2 linked regions of the Styela clava genome follow. The protein of the gene in region 1 interacts with the protein of each later gene in a pairwise test. Links are inferred from orthologs where the notes say so. Each region holds a gene or a part of one and is shown on either strand. Other genes may lie near its edges.

Evidence for each region.
Region 2: the proteins of transcription initiation factor TFIID subunit 11-like (region 1) and transcription initiation factor TFIID subunit 13-like interact in a two-hybrid assay, tested with the Drosophila melanogaster proteins (2 studies listed by BioGRID). The link is inferred for Styela clava from reciprocal best matches to the Drosophila melanogaster genes Taf11 and Taf13.

What each region holds. Positions count from the first base shown.
Region 1 is NC_135264.1:15,684,573-15,692,609, forward strand, and holds the start of transcription initiation factor TFIID subunit 11-like, read right to left. Parts: upstream 3,274-8,037; 5' UTR 3,231-3,273; coding exon 3,113-3,230; intron 2,555-3,112; coding exon 2,452-2,554; intron 1,853-2,451; coding exon 1,754-1,852; intron 1,365-1,753; coding exon 1,208-1,364; intron 687-1,207; coding exon 531-686; 3' UTR 1-530. UniProt on the Drosophila melanogaster protein: The TFIID basal transcription factor complex plays a major role in the initiation of RNA polymerase II (Pol II)-dependent transcription.
Region 2 is NC_135258.1:9,412,221-9,419,304, reverse strand, and holds transcription initiation factor TFIID subunit 13-like, read right to left. Parts: upstream 2,602-7,084; 5' UTR 2,340-2,601; intron 2,069-2,339; 5' UTR 2,003-2,068; coding exon 1,643-2,002; 3' UTR 761-1,642; downstream 1-760. Other genes in the region: protein C3orf33-like, read right to left, coding at 486-545, 622-678.

The sequences.
Region 1 (8,037 bases):
AAAATCATGTCACACATCAGTTAGAATCATTCGTTCCTTTTTTTTTAAATCTGCTTTTGGCCTATTTTGGAACTTTTTATTTATCCTTCCCTATGCATAAAACTATATTATCTGTCCAACCTTCAGTAGTTTATGATAAGTATTGTATTTGCAGTAATAATACGAAAACTAAAGAACAACAGTAATACCACAGCGACTACAAAATTGAGAAACACGGTGTAATATTTCTTAACAATATTCCCAATATACAGGGTGTCCTACATTTGATACATCTGTGAGGGCCAAAACAATATAGTGCATTGATAAATTTCCTTTGCAATTAAAAAAAATTAAGACCTCATGGACACCCTATAATTCCAAAATAAACAGTTCTGATTCTGAAAGATTATGTCATGAAGCATCACAAAAGTCCATTTTTTCATGATTCTGATAGGAAATTGACAGCAATGTACCCATCTCTTAACCAGAAAAGCCATTCAGGACAGGCTTGGTAGGATTCGGCCTTCGGCAAAACAATTCAAATACAGGCATCATAATGGGTTAGTCTTCAGTTTAGAAAACGGGAAAGTTCTTCTGGCTTTTAATTTTCTGATTGCTTCACGAATATGTTTTGGTTTCACTGGAGGCGTTTCCCCTTGTTGCTCCATAACATCAAGTGCTATCTCCATGATTTCACCGACATAAACCTGATAAAATATAGGAAACAACAAAATCAGAAAAATTGTATCAGATTCTAGTGAATGGAAAACTGACTTGACAGTTGGCCAATTATTTCCAGTAATGAGAGCAAGAGAAATATTGGACTTCAAAGTAATTTTCTCAAATAATTTGTTAAGAAATTCGAATCCATGAGATTTTTTGTGAAAGATTTAATCCTAAACTTGGGTTTCTTGAACTGTTGGTGTTATGGAGCCTGTCAAGGGCCTGAATATTTATTTACAGTGCCCCACCATGAATTTTTTAGAAACTATTATCTATTCTATTGGAACTTATAGATAATGTCATATTTAAATTACCACCTTATTTCCACATTTCAACGCTACTGTTGTCAAATTTTATTAATGCCGTTATTCTTTGGACAGTTACAAAATTAGCCAAGTCAGTATTTTAATAAGTAAATGAATGGCTTGCGGAGCACCAAGGTTTTTCCGCACTTTGAGAATCTATGCCCTGAACTATTCCAATACAAAGATAAAGACGAGCTTACTTTGGACACTCCAGCAACTCCTATCACCACATTTTGTGATACTGTGCATCCAGCGATGGATTGCATTAATCGTTTTATTGAAGCTTTTGGAAACGATGAACGTCTGTACATTTCATATCTGTTTAATTGGTCTTCAGAGAAAGCTGTCACAAGTCGCCTAAAAATAAACAAATTTAAAGAAAAGATTTGAGCATGTTGGGAAGTCTGATGAGCAGATTCTTTACAGATCACCAACTTGAGTGTCATCTATTATCTATATAAATTCACTGTTTGTGAACGCATAACACATTTAACCTAATGTAAATACAACTGTTACAAAAGACCATCTTAATGCAACCAAATAATCCAATCAGTTCGTTAAAATATAATACAAAGCATATACAGGAGAAATGGCATGATCGTAGTTTGGCATGTTTCCATGGAGTTGGTTCAAAATTCAAAACATTATAAAATTCATAAAGAATTCATGAAGAACATTACAAAACAAAATTCATGAGAACATCAGAGCTGCTGTAAAATATAACTAAATTTAAATTTCCAACTTACTGCATTTTCATTCTTTCAACTCTTCCTGATTTTTCTTTTTTTCGTTTCGCTGATAATATTTCATCAGCAGTTGCCTGTTGTGCTGACGTAGGATCTTTTCTGAAAATAAATAAAAAATTTGAAAGTAAAATATGATATAACTGATATTGGATTAATAACATGAGATTTTTCTGCCCAGTCACGCTCCAATTGGAAATTGGAGAAGTGGAATAGAGCAGCACCGGCATTAGCCCAATTAGATGAAATTATTCCGCTCATTCACGCTTCAATGATAAAAACTCGGGTTTAGTCCAGATATCTAGCCTGAGAAATTAGAAAATAAAATATGGCAGCACCGGCACTAGCTTAATTAGATGAGAATATTCCACACATTCACGCTTCAATGGGAAATTTCAGATAAAGTCTAGATATCTAACCCGGGAAATTAGAAAGTGAAATATGGCAGCAGCGGTATTAGATTAAATAGATGGGATTATTCTGCTCAGTCACTTTTCAGTGGAAAAAAATCAGGTCTAGTCTAGACATCTAACCTGAGAAATTACAAAGTGGCATGCGGCAGCACCGGCATTGGATTAATTCAGATGAGATTATTCCGCTCAGCCACACTTAGAGGGGAAAAAATTCACATCTAGATGTTTTACTGGGAAATTGAAAAATTTTGATAGTAAATTTCTTTTAACTAGCTTCTTTAGACATACTTTGGTGATTCTTTCGATGAAATTGATGTATTTTTGTCTCCTTTGCTTGGGCTTTCTTGAGGTCCTGATGGCGAACCAAACTTTCTTTTTAATTTTGAAGAACCTGAAAATAAAGATACCTCCTAAAGCAGCGGCTCCCAACCGGGGGCCTGGGGCCTATGCAAGGGGCCACAGAGGAGTTGAAGGGGACTACAATGTTAGAAGCAAAACCGCTTCTAGCATTCCTTTACTAAAAAAAGTCCCTGTTCATCACTTGTGATAAATAACAGAGGTTCTCAAACTTTCCAAGCCGCGCCTATTTTAGAATTTTCCAAGTCTTGCGCCTCACCTCAAAAATAGAAAAGCTACAAATAACAGATAGTGAGGCAAAAGTATATTTTATTCAAAAAACACATTGAATAATGTGGATGAAATTGCAATCTCCAATAATAAAGATAAGTAAATATGCAAATTAAGGACGGACAAGATTAAACCTAACAAATATTTTTATTTGCGGGGCATGCTGCGCCGTTTGAGAACCACTGTTTAATATTGTATGTATAAATAAGTATTATACTAATAATATCAACTAAAGAATATTAGTATACTACAGCAACATTTCTACCTGACCTGGTAACATCAGTTTAAAACCTTGTCAGAGCGAAGGCATAAAGTAAATTACCTGGTTTTTCATCAAAACTTTCTTCATGCATAGAGGTGTTGCTTCTTTTTGACGTATTCGCTTCAGAAACATCGGAATCGTCTAATTTTAAATCCCCATGCTCGGCATATTCTGCCATACTATAGCACTAAGCTTATTTCATAAACTAAAAACACAAAAATATATACATGTACTATGCAATATATGAACTAGGCGTGGTAAGTCAACTTGCATAAAAATTTACAGCGGAATTTGCATGGTTAGAAAATGGCATAGTGTCAATAAACAAGCATTAGGTAATATATTTCATAAACCCATCTCTATTTTCTTTATAAAACCTTAAAAAATGTGCAAGTTATAAATTAGAAAGTGATGTGATAACCTGACCTGCATACCTTAACAGAATTAACCTAAACAAAATTAACAGAATAATGCATATAAAACCACTCAAATCAATATGTATAAGTCAATGGTAAATTTGTCAGCAAGGATATTTAGTTCAGTTGCTATAAACAAAAACTAGGAGCGAGAGATATGGAGTAAATCAAAAAAGAACTTTTAACGTCAAGCAGGGAATAATTAAATCAAAATCATGACTATGAACATGTAAACCAGTTTGTGAGCCCGAACTCTCAAAATAAGCATCAAAAATTTTGCAATGATGGCATTAAAAAAATTTCAAAGGTCAGAGACAAATCAGTGTGTTCAACAAATAGCTTTTTCTGGCAAAATAACTGCTTGGCAAAATCAGATGCTTTTGATATATACAAAGTTACAATAACAGCATATACAACATAAATGAAAACCTATGCGCTAACTATAAATTTCATACTATAATATATATATAAACAAAACACTTGAAAAAAAATATGGAAGTTTTCTATTCTAAAAACAAACATTATACAAAATTATTCAAGGTCAACATTTTGTAGAAAAACTCATTAGAACCAATGGAAAGGAAGATTCATTGTGGTGTTACACCTGCCATTACAAAATGACTTGACCCATGTTCTTGTATTTCTGCATGTGCATTATCTCTGAATACATTTCCATATGCATGTGATCCTGTGTTTATTTCAGTGTACACATTTAAATTTTCTGGTTTGCTTTCTTCAATAGGCCAGACTATTATAACAGGTACATGTCTGGTTCTTTCGCAATAGATTATTGAATACTTGATGCGGATTTGTCCTCGTTTGTCACGAATCGAATCACTTGGGGTAAAACATAAATGAGAGAATCCCTGTCTCACAATATCCTTTGTGACTTCTATAATCTCGTTTTGGGGCTGAATATTAGGAAGTTGAACCTCTGAATTATCATCACATTCAATTTTTATTTCAATCTTCGATTTGAGACCAACGTTTAATCGCTCCTCAAGAGGCAAAATTCCAACAAAACCTCTTTTTTTCAAAGCTGATTCTGTGATTTCGTGGTCAGATCGATTTCTTGTTAAAACAGATATGATTTGTGCTGTCTGTTTTTGCATGTAGAGATCGTTAATAAAAGTAAATATTCCATTTTCACATATGTCCTTCTCACTCCCATTGCAAAAATCGCAGAAACGGTCCACTTCGAACACAATTTCACTTTCGGTTTTCAACTTAACATCTTTAATCATTGTCCATTCCCCGTCTTTTTCCTTGTGCATAATTTTAACTGGAATTTCCCGATTATTTTTACTGTAGAAATTTGTTTTCATCGTCAAAGTAACTGGTGTATCAAATGTTATTGAAGGATTGCATTCAATGACAGGTGTGATAGGAAGTAAATCATCTGGGAAATCATCGAAGAAATTATTGACCGAAAGAGAAAATGTAGTTTTTGTTTTAACAGCACCAGGCGGCACAAGGAGCTTGCAGTCATAAAGCCACATAAATCCACCATCTGGTCCAATTTCTTCGACCAAAGGTTCATTAGCATCTATCTTATTCTCTCTTGACCAGAGTATAGAAAACAATTTGATGTTTTGATCGAGTGAAAGGGCTGACCGTTCTATTGAGAATTTTCCAATCTCTTTGAGCAAAATATTTTTTTGTGATTTATTCATTTTCAGGGGGCCCAGCGACAAGCATTTGTGAACTTTTTGAGCTAACCTCGACATCACAAAGATCTCATCATCAGTAGGGGACATTGACACAATTCCTCTGTTGTTCAAGCAAGAAAATGTAACTTGCTTTTGCTGTAGAGCAGTGCAAAATGATGACAAACGATCATATGTTGCACATATACCCATAGCTGTAAACACTGTGGTTTTGGTGTTATTCAATAGCTCTGCAAGAAGCTCAAATTCTTCTAAATTTGTTATAGAATGACTATGAATTCGTAAATCATCCAAAATCACATTATATTCCACAAATGCATTGTTGAGTTCTACTATCTTTTCAGAACTCAAGTTATTGTCATTCAAAATCAGAGAACGAGATCCACAAAGGTGCAACACTTGGACAAATAAGAAATATGCTGCTGGTTCCAGTATTGTTGTATTCTTTAAATGAATAGTAGGAGCAGTTAATACGCCATTTTTTATAGCTTCACCTAATTTTTGAAGATTTTTGCAATCCATACCAATAATTTCAAGAAGAGTAATCAGGATGCTAATATTACAACTGAGTAGTGATATCATGAGTGGCAAATTTGTCGAGCAAATTTCAAATGTTGTCATTCGAATGGACTTTAATGACACAGCATTATTTGCGATGGACAACAATGTATTTCGTTCGCCAGGATGCAGAGAAGTTTTTGTGAAATCAAACTCTTCTGCATTGGTTGTAAATTGTTTGAAGACATCTGGGCCACATTCATGCAATATGGAAACTAGTAGTTCATCCGAAATCACTTTTTGATCCAATAATTTACCCAAGTATTCAAGCAGGTATTCAGACTTACTATGCAAGTTATCTGGTAGAAATTTTGATGCTTTTTTTGCAGTGGATTTGTTGAGAATTATTATAAAAATATGTTTTATAACAACTTCCATTCCAGATTTTTTGTAATTATCCTCGATAAACTTCTTGAATTCCTCCAAGTCAAGACTGCAAGCATACAAGGAAGCAAGTATCGTTTGGATGTGCGGGTGTAGAAAGCGTATTCTCATATCATTATCGTCGGCAACATACTCAACAAATCGGGTGTCAGCATCCATCTCAACAAGACCACGCATGTCACTCATATCCAGGTTGAGTGACTCAATATACCTTGCTGTGAAAACAAATCGATTCTCTATCATCCCAAGAAAAGCCAACTTCATGCCTTTTGGCACAAGACTTTGGACATTTCCTTTATGACGAGATCCTGAGAAAAGTCTCATAATTGAAACCATCGTAGTTGTGATATTCACATCAGCACCTTTTGGTGGATTTTTATAAGTCTCAGTTATGTATCTCATGAACAAGGGGTTTGAAAAAAGGTCAAATGCCCCATATATTTTCCAGACGAAAATCATGCTTTCACTTTTGGAGCCAAATATATTTTCTACAAGTTGATGCACTTTTCCTATATCATATCCTTTTAAGACCACGGTTCTTGGGGTTTTCATGTTTGGGGGCAATTTCCAATATGCATGCCAGCGTGATGTTGATAATAATTTAATTCCTTGGTAAATATGCCCGGATAATACATTAGCGATAATTGTGTTGGTATCTGCTACAGTGTCCACTCCAATTTTGGAATAATCACCTTCTAATGGAGTTTGATTTTGGTCCAATCCATCCAATACAAGCAAAACATTTGATGAATTCAGTTTCAACCAGTTTGATCCGGAATCATGTAGGTATTCAGGAAGTTCCGATCCAAGCTGTTGGACAAACAGAAGATCAAAAGGAGTTGTTCTTTGTTTGCTGTATAACTTAGAAACATCCACATAATAGACCATCTTAATCTCAGCGGAAAACACCAACTTCTTCTTCGAAGCCATCATTGCATAATTCAAAGCAAATATTGTTTTTCCAGAGCCTGTGTCACCTAGCAACATGACATGGTTGACCGAATCATCAGCATGGATCCTTGTAACATCAACATTTTTTGAATCATCTAATAATGCAGTCACCATTGGAAGACTGACGTCAATATTCCCTTTTTCTTGAAATATTTTCAATTCATAGGCTAACATACGATTCATATACTCGTCCAGAACTCTGCAAAATTCCATACTTCTCAAATCTACATCGGCAGACATTTTGAATCTATTAGAAGATAATTCCTCACTTTTTTGGGCCCATTTGCTTGATGTTAGTACATCATCATTTTTACCAGACATAGTCGCCTCAAAACTACTTTTTTTCAGGACTATTGGGGGTTGCAGAGCAAAAGCTTTACTTGAGTTTTCTTGGAATGGTATAACACCTCCTTCACTTGGTATCATTTGAGATTGTCCAAGCTTATCTACACTTGGCTTTTCTGTGACTAGTTCCCGATCTTCTGTTGGTTTGTTGATAAATTGATGCTCCTCATCCCCTTGAAGTTTCGGAATGCAATAAGTAATATAGGCCTCTACCAGCTTTCTTATATTTTTGGTGACAACTGTATCATCAGTACTTAGATGATGTGTTCTGTATCTCCATTCCCAAAGCATTGAAAGTTTACATTCTTCCATTGAAAATCTGTTATCTTCATTCATAGTGGCTATAGTATGTTCAGGAAGGTTTAAACCACTCTTCGCTGATCGAGCAAATTCCTTAAACTCAGTAGTTGAAAATCGGTCAACAATATTTTGAAAAACATCTTCCAGTCTTTCCCTGGTTACAGAAACATCTTCAACTTCAGAGGCATAATATTGTGAAACAAGATCTCTCAATATCTGGAAAGTTGCATTTTTTCCATTCTTTTGCGTCCACCTCACTAACAGTTCAATCTTTTGTTCTTCAACAAATCTGGGGTCTCATGTACTTTCTTACCTGAATAACTTCTAGTGGGCGTGGCGTAACAATTTTTGGATATATGATTCC
Region 2 (7,084 bases), on another chromosome or scaffold:
ATTAATGATTCATTTTTTTTAATTTGCATGTAACAGAATTATTTGCAACTAAAAAAGAGCAAAAATAAAGAGGGAATTTCGAAGGTTAATACTTTGACTAGGAGAATAGAAGTAAACTTCATTTCAGTGCTAACGAACTACTAATAGCCAGGCCGGTAAGGTTTTTGTACACCAAGGCGTGGATTTGAAGCCGCGGCCACCTCAGTTACAAGAGCTATGGGTGTATTTACTGGACTACCAACACCCCGAAAATTGGTTCATGTTGACTGGTGGATATGGGGTTGCAAATTTGCAATTGTTAAAGTTCAATTATTTCCAGTATATAAAACCATATTTTGAACATCATTTTTAAATCAAAATCGGTGAAGATGCCATATATGTTTCATATATTTACCACTCTAGTTAACAACAAATGTCAAGATAATGGAATCATTATCCAAAAATTACCATAAATGACTACAGTGATATTGCAAATATAAACTCACGAGTCTTGATCTTCTTACAATCATAAAAACACCTATTCCAGCAATCACATATCCTGCATTCTGTTAAAAACATAATAATAATACATAAAAAAAAGTCTGGCATAATAAATACACTAAAGAATACAGCAAAAATTACCTTCACAATCCTAATGTGCTTGTCAAAAAATTCTGATGCTTTATTCACAACATCCATTCTTGTGCGGAATGTAAAACATTTTGACAATCCTTAGATTCAAATCACATGACTAACTTACGATAAAAACCATGAAAGTTAATCTATAAATGTAAGATAAAGTAAAACAACAAAAACAGAAAATATGTTAACACCAGACAAACTGAAAAAATTTGATTTACATCAGTATTGTTCGAACTCTATCATCAAAAAAAATTAATGGAGTAAGTTAGGTCAGAATAATCTCCATCACATTGTAGTGTGATCAAGTGCCAATTATGTTATAGCAATCTTCCCAGTTTGCATTTTTTAGATTGGAATGAAATTTAAACATTCAAAATACTAATAGGCGAGTAGCCTAGACTCAAACAATTATACTCCAGTCCAGGAATGTGCAACATTTTTTGTCGGTGGCCCATATAACCAACTTCAGACATTCAGCTGGTCTGCACAAAAAATTTGGTTTTTCCATGGATACAACGAATTAAAAAATTCGCACAATGCAAAAATCAAATGCAGCGACAAGAGGACAGAAACATTACATATTTTTAACCATGTGAGCGCATTTTTAAACATAAACTGTCGGATTAGGATTTTATGCTTGGTGGGGAAAATCTGAGTGTTGACAAGGTGTGTTGAGCTGAGTGTTGCACACCCCTGCTTCAGATTAAACTATGAAGATATCACACCTATGGTACCGGTATAATAAATTGGATAGGCAGAGCTAAACCGGAATGATCCGGTTCTTCCAAACTATAATAGCTCCTTACTTAATAGCTGCTTGTTCAGAGCAAAACAAACATAAATATTTTATATAAAGAGTGAATGATAAATTATGGCCTCTTGATTTGATTAAAACATTATCAAATATTTTGTACAGACGAATTAGTCTTTGTAAGACATGATTCGGTTTATTGCACAATCGGACCATTTATATTCACAATTCTTTTCCCATTTAGTTCTTTTTCAAGTGCAAATTTGGAAATCAAAACTTCGCTTCATCAAAAGCCCTTCTTGCTTTTTTAAGTTCTTCATTCATAGTTAATAAGTCTTTAACTCTGGCATATTTTCTTGCATCTTTTTGTATGAGATAAACAATGTCTTCAACTTGCACTCTTCCAGGCCTTCCGATCTGCAATGCTTTATGTGTGAGTTCTGTTATAAATTCTATAACAAGTTCTTCTATGAGTTCTGCTGATTCTGTATAGGGGTTGGTATCATCTCCGAAGCCATACATCATACATCGAATTTCTTTAAAAAACAGACGTTTCTTTTTATCTAAATCTTGTTGGCTGCTAGATTTTGAATGTTGAGGACTTTGCTTTGTACCATCAGAGTCTGCCATTTCCACCAATTCTTATGTTATTGGAGAGCTTGCAATAAATTAATTTGTTAGCTGCTAGTCGGGGGTCTGAGACGAATGCCGAAATTAATAAATTCAATTTTCAATACCTGAATTTTACATGTTACTGCAATTACTAACGATACCTATAAAAATGAAAACGCACATAAATCTCACAAGCCGCGTCGGATTTCCGCTTTTTGGATTTTACAAAGAGCAGTCCATAGAGCCATAAGCGACACAGGTAACTTACGTGCATACATTTGTGTATAAACAGGATTTTAGGATATGTTTGTGACTAGGTTTATCGTAAGTTCGTAACAATGGAAATTTAACTTACCCACATTCAACTTAAAGATTTTAAAATTGATTGTGAAAATTTCGATTATCTGCAGTAATCTAAAATCAAACCTAAAATGGTTGCTACCCCGAGCATAGATTTCGTTGGATAATCAAACCAATCACTCATTTTATTTCGGTTCTCCGGCATAAACAACACAAAAAGTAAACAGACTAACAAAATGCAGAGATACCCGGGATGCGAGCATAACTTAAAATAAAGTTAAAAAGTCACGTACCCACTACCCAACATAAATTAAAAAAAAAAAAAAAAAAAAAAAACAGGAGAGTGAACGCGATTCAAAATCGGGCAACATTTTTGATGGGGCTTTAAAAAAAACAGCAAATTCAAGTAGATCATATAATTAGAGTTAGTTCGGATACCTATAATTTATACTATCCGGATAACGGATATATCCGGTTACAGTGGCGCAGCCAGGGGGGGGGGGGGGGGGGGTCGGGGTCGAACCCCCCCCCCCCCTTTTGAATTTTCCGAAAAGTGAAAAAGTTGCCGATAACATGTGCAATTGCCTTCTGCTGAAATCGCCGTTCGTTTTCATCAACGCGGCATGTTATTTATTCCGTGAACGCCCTTTACATGTGTTTATTCTCTCTAATCTCACAAATTTGTGCCGCGGGAACAATGGTAACTATTTTATTTTTGTACCCGCACGGAAATGTGAAAACTGAAAAAGCGTGCAATTGCCTTCTGCTAAAATCGCCCATGTTTTCATCAGCGTGTTATTTGGGCCGTAAACGCCCTTACGTCGGTTTTTATTCTTTCTAAATCATAAATTTGTGCCACGATAAACATGATAATTATTTTATTTTTGTACTTTGCACGGAATTGTGAATTCGTGAGTTATTATACGTTCATCGGTGGCGAGGTTCTAAAGACAAAAGAAGGAGTAAAACCGCGATCTAAATTTGATTGAAAAGCGGCATTATAAAATACTGAAAATAGAACCGTAAACAATATAAGTTTTGTTGAGTCCCGCGACAGTCTAAAAAAGCTTTTCTAGTCGCAAAATCGCAAAATTTCGTGTGCCTATGGCGCACATTATGTTTGGTCGCCGTTTAGGAACATACCGTCACTAAAATCGAAACACGGTTAATTGTGGGTGGGATTTGCCTTTTATCCATTACTTACGATTTTTTCCCGGTTTGTGATGATATATAAGATAATTAATCCGAAGTATATCCATCAATCTTTATTGTACTGAAATAAATTTTACTCCATGAGAATTCACAGCAGATTTACGGATTTTTCAGGAGGTTTTATCTTTAAAAATAATCGGAGTGTCAGCATTGCGATTGAACGAAGTCAATGTTACAAGCACATCTCAAATTTGTCGAATTTGCAAAATAGAAAAAATACGGATCAAAACAATATATGATAGGCGACGGGCAGTTACCACAAATTTTTATTTTTATGTCGGCAAATGGCCGAGGTATTTTGAAATTGTGAATTGTAAAAAATTGTTTTGTTTTGTCGACGCAAATGCTGGTTAAATTGAAGACAATTAAATTAATAAAGCAAGACATTTTAAATATGCCCTTATCGGTCACGAATTGATTACTTAGCACAACAGAAAAATCATTTTTCGTTGTTTAAGAAGTGGCGTGATCGCGGCGATTTTTGATTACGAAATAAAATTGTACTCTTCGGGATTTTATATCAGTTAATGTGATTTTTCTAACGGCGATAACGAGTTGGCAAGATTCCAAAAATACGTATTAAAATTAAATACACCGTTTGTCCTCATATTTTTATGTCCACCGATGCCGTGGCATTTCAGAGAACTAATGTTTTTATTTTGACATAAGAAGAAGCAACCGCGAGTTACGTTGGACACAATTAACTTAATAATTTAGAACATTTTAGAATTTTGTAGTTGTCAGAGATTGAATATTTCACGCGACAAGAATAATCATTATACGCTGAAAAGACGTCCCTTTAACGAGCGCGTAATTCGAAGACTGTTACAGACCGCAATGGGAATTTATGATTATGAACCCCCCCCCCCCCTTTTGAAAATCCTGGCTGCGCGCCTGTCCGGGTATCTCGTATTTTAACTATGCGGTTAACCGGATAGTTGCCGCTAATTTTGGAGAACCGATTTCACACGATTTTCGAGGCGAATTGACTAAAAACCAACACACAGTTATATTGCAAATACGTACTATTTTTCTCGAATAAAAATGATTGTGCATTTCGATGTTGCATGTGTCAATAAATAAAAATTTAAGCTCCGTAATCGTACAGAAGTACAGCTGAATAATATAATGAAACGTGCTTTTTTGAATACTGTGTCCTAATTGTCTTCCCTCAACTGCTACGTTATTTTATCCTATTCAAATCATATGTAAAGAATTATATTATTGGACACGTCAGTGTACATAACGATCGTTTTAATATTATGTTGTTGTTGTTATTATTCTCCTCTTTCGTCATGATGAAATCGCTTTTCTCTTCGAATACTGGACCAATTGCTTTGAATTTTTTTACTGGTTAAAGATTGATTTTTTTGCCAGAAGGCTATTACTTTTACTTATTTCAAAAATGCTGTGGACTTCAATAGATTCGTTTTTCATGTGTCAGATTAAAAAATAGCGACACCTTGTGACGTATCCATATATTTGAGCACAGCTCTCTTGTTTCTTATTATTGTTAAATTTTTTTTAAAGTTTCTTTTTGTGTCTAGAGCATTTTTTCTTAAAATTTTGACTTATACTAAATTTTGGTGTCGCACACTCACGATGACCATTTCTTTAAGCTTTTGTGTTCAACTAGTTTAACCGTAAATATATACTACTACGGTTTAACATACATCTGACTTAGATAGAATATATTTATTGGACACGTTTAGTGGACATAACGATCGTTTTTTGGACACGTTTAGTGGCCATAACGATCGTTTCAATATTATGTTGTTGTTGTTGTTCTTGTTCTTTGACACGTTTTTAAAAAATCGCTTTTCTCTTCGAATACTGGACCAATTGCTTTGAAATTTTCAGTGGTTAAAGATAAATTTCTTCGCTAGAAGGCTATTACTTTTATTTATTTCAAAATTTTGCGTGAATTCTATGAAATTTGATATTTCGTCTAAAATTTTGCTGTATTATTTTTGGACACGTAGTGGACATAACGATCGTTTCAATATTGTGTTGTTGTTGTTGTTGTTGTTCTTTGACACGTTTTTAAAAAGTCGCTTTTCTCTTCGAATACTGGACCAATTGCTTTGAAATTTTCAGTGGTTAAAGATAAAAATTTTCTCCAGAAGGCTATTACTTTTTTTTTCGCTATGACGTCATCAAAATTATGTGACTCTACGTGTCCATATATTTGAGCATAGCTCTCTTGTTTATCCATGGGAACACGAATTTTAGTCAGTGTCATGACTGGCTGTACGTTTTGATTCTGCAAAATTCTTGCTACTGGAAATTCAGCACTTTTTTGAGGGTACCGGTAGCGCCAAAGGTACCGGTAAAGACTGATTCGCTCTGGTCTAACGTGTCCATATATTCGTGCGTAGCTCTCTTGTGTTGTTATTGGACACGTAGTGGACATAACGATCGTTTCAATATTATGTTGTTGTTGTTGTTCTTGTTCTTGTTCTTTGACACGTTTTTAAAAAGTCGCTTTTCTCTTCGAATACTGGACCAATTGCTTTGAAATTTTCAGTGGTTGAAGATTAATTTTTTCGCTAGAAGGCTATTACTTTTATTTATTTCAAAATTTTGCGTGAATTCTATGAAATTTGATATTTCGTCTAAAATTTTGCTGTATTATTTTTTATCCATGGGAACACGGATTTTAGTCAGTGTCATGACTGGCTGTACGTTTTGATTCTGCAAAATTCTTGCTACTGGAAATTCAGAACTTTTTTGAGGGTACCGGTAGCGTCAAAGGTACCGGTAAGGACTGATTCGCTCTGGTCTGACGTGTCCATATATTTGTGCGTAGCTCTCTTGTGTTGTTCTTGTTGGACACGTAGTGGACATAACGATCGTTTCAATATTATGTTGTTGTTGTTGTTGTTCTTTGACACATTTTTAAAAAGTCGCTTTTCTCTTCGAATACTGGACCAATTGCTTTGAAATTTTCAGTGGTTAAAGAGTAATTTTTTTGCTAGAAGGCTATTACTTTTATTTATTTCAAAATTTTGCATGAATTCTATGAAATTTGATATTTCGTCTAAAATTTTGCTGTATTATTTTTTATCCATGGGAACACGGATTTTAGTCAGTGTCATGACTGGCTGTACGTTTTGATTCTGCAAAATTCTTGCTACTGGAAATTCAGAACTTTTTTGAGGGTACCGGTAGCGTCAAAGGTACCGGTAAGGACTGATTCGCTCTGGTCTAACGTGTCCATATATTTGTGCGTAGCTCTCTTGTTGTTCTTTGACACGTTTTGAAGAAATCGCTTTTCTCTTTGATTACTGGACCAATTGCTTTAAAATTTTCAGTGGTTGAAGATAAAAATTTTCTTCAGAAGGCTATTACTTTTTTTTTGCTATGACGTCATCAAAATTATTGCCATTAGGTGGCGCTACGTGTCCATATATTTAAGCATAGCTCTTTTGTTTCGGCTGGTATATCTATTGATTCGGTTGATACATGGAAATTTGAAAAAAAACATATATACCAGAGTTAAAAGTAAGCACATAACATTTGTTCGTGAACCCAAAATTTTGAAATACTACACAGATTACATGTGTGACGACCCTTGTTTTATCTGTT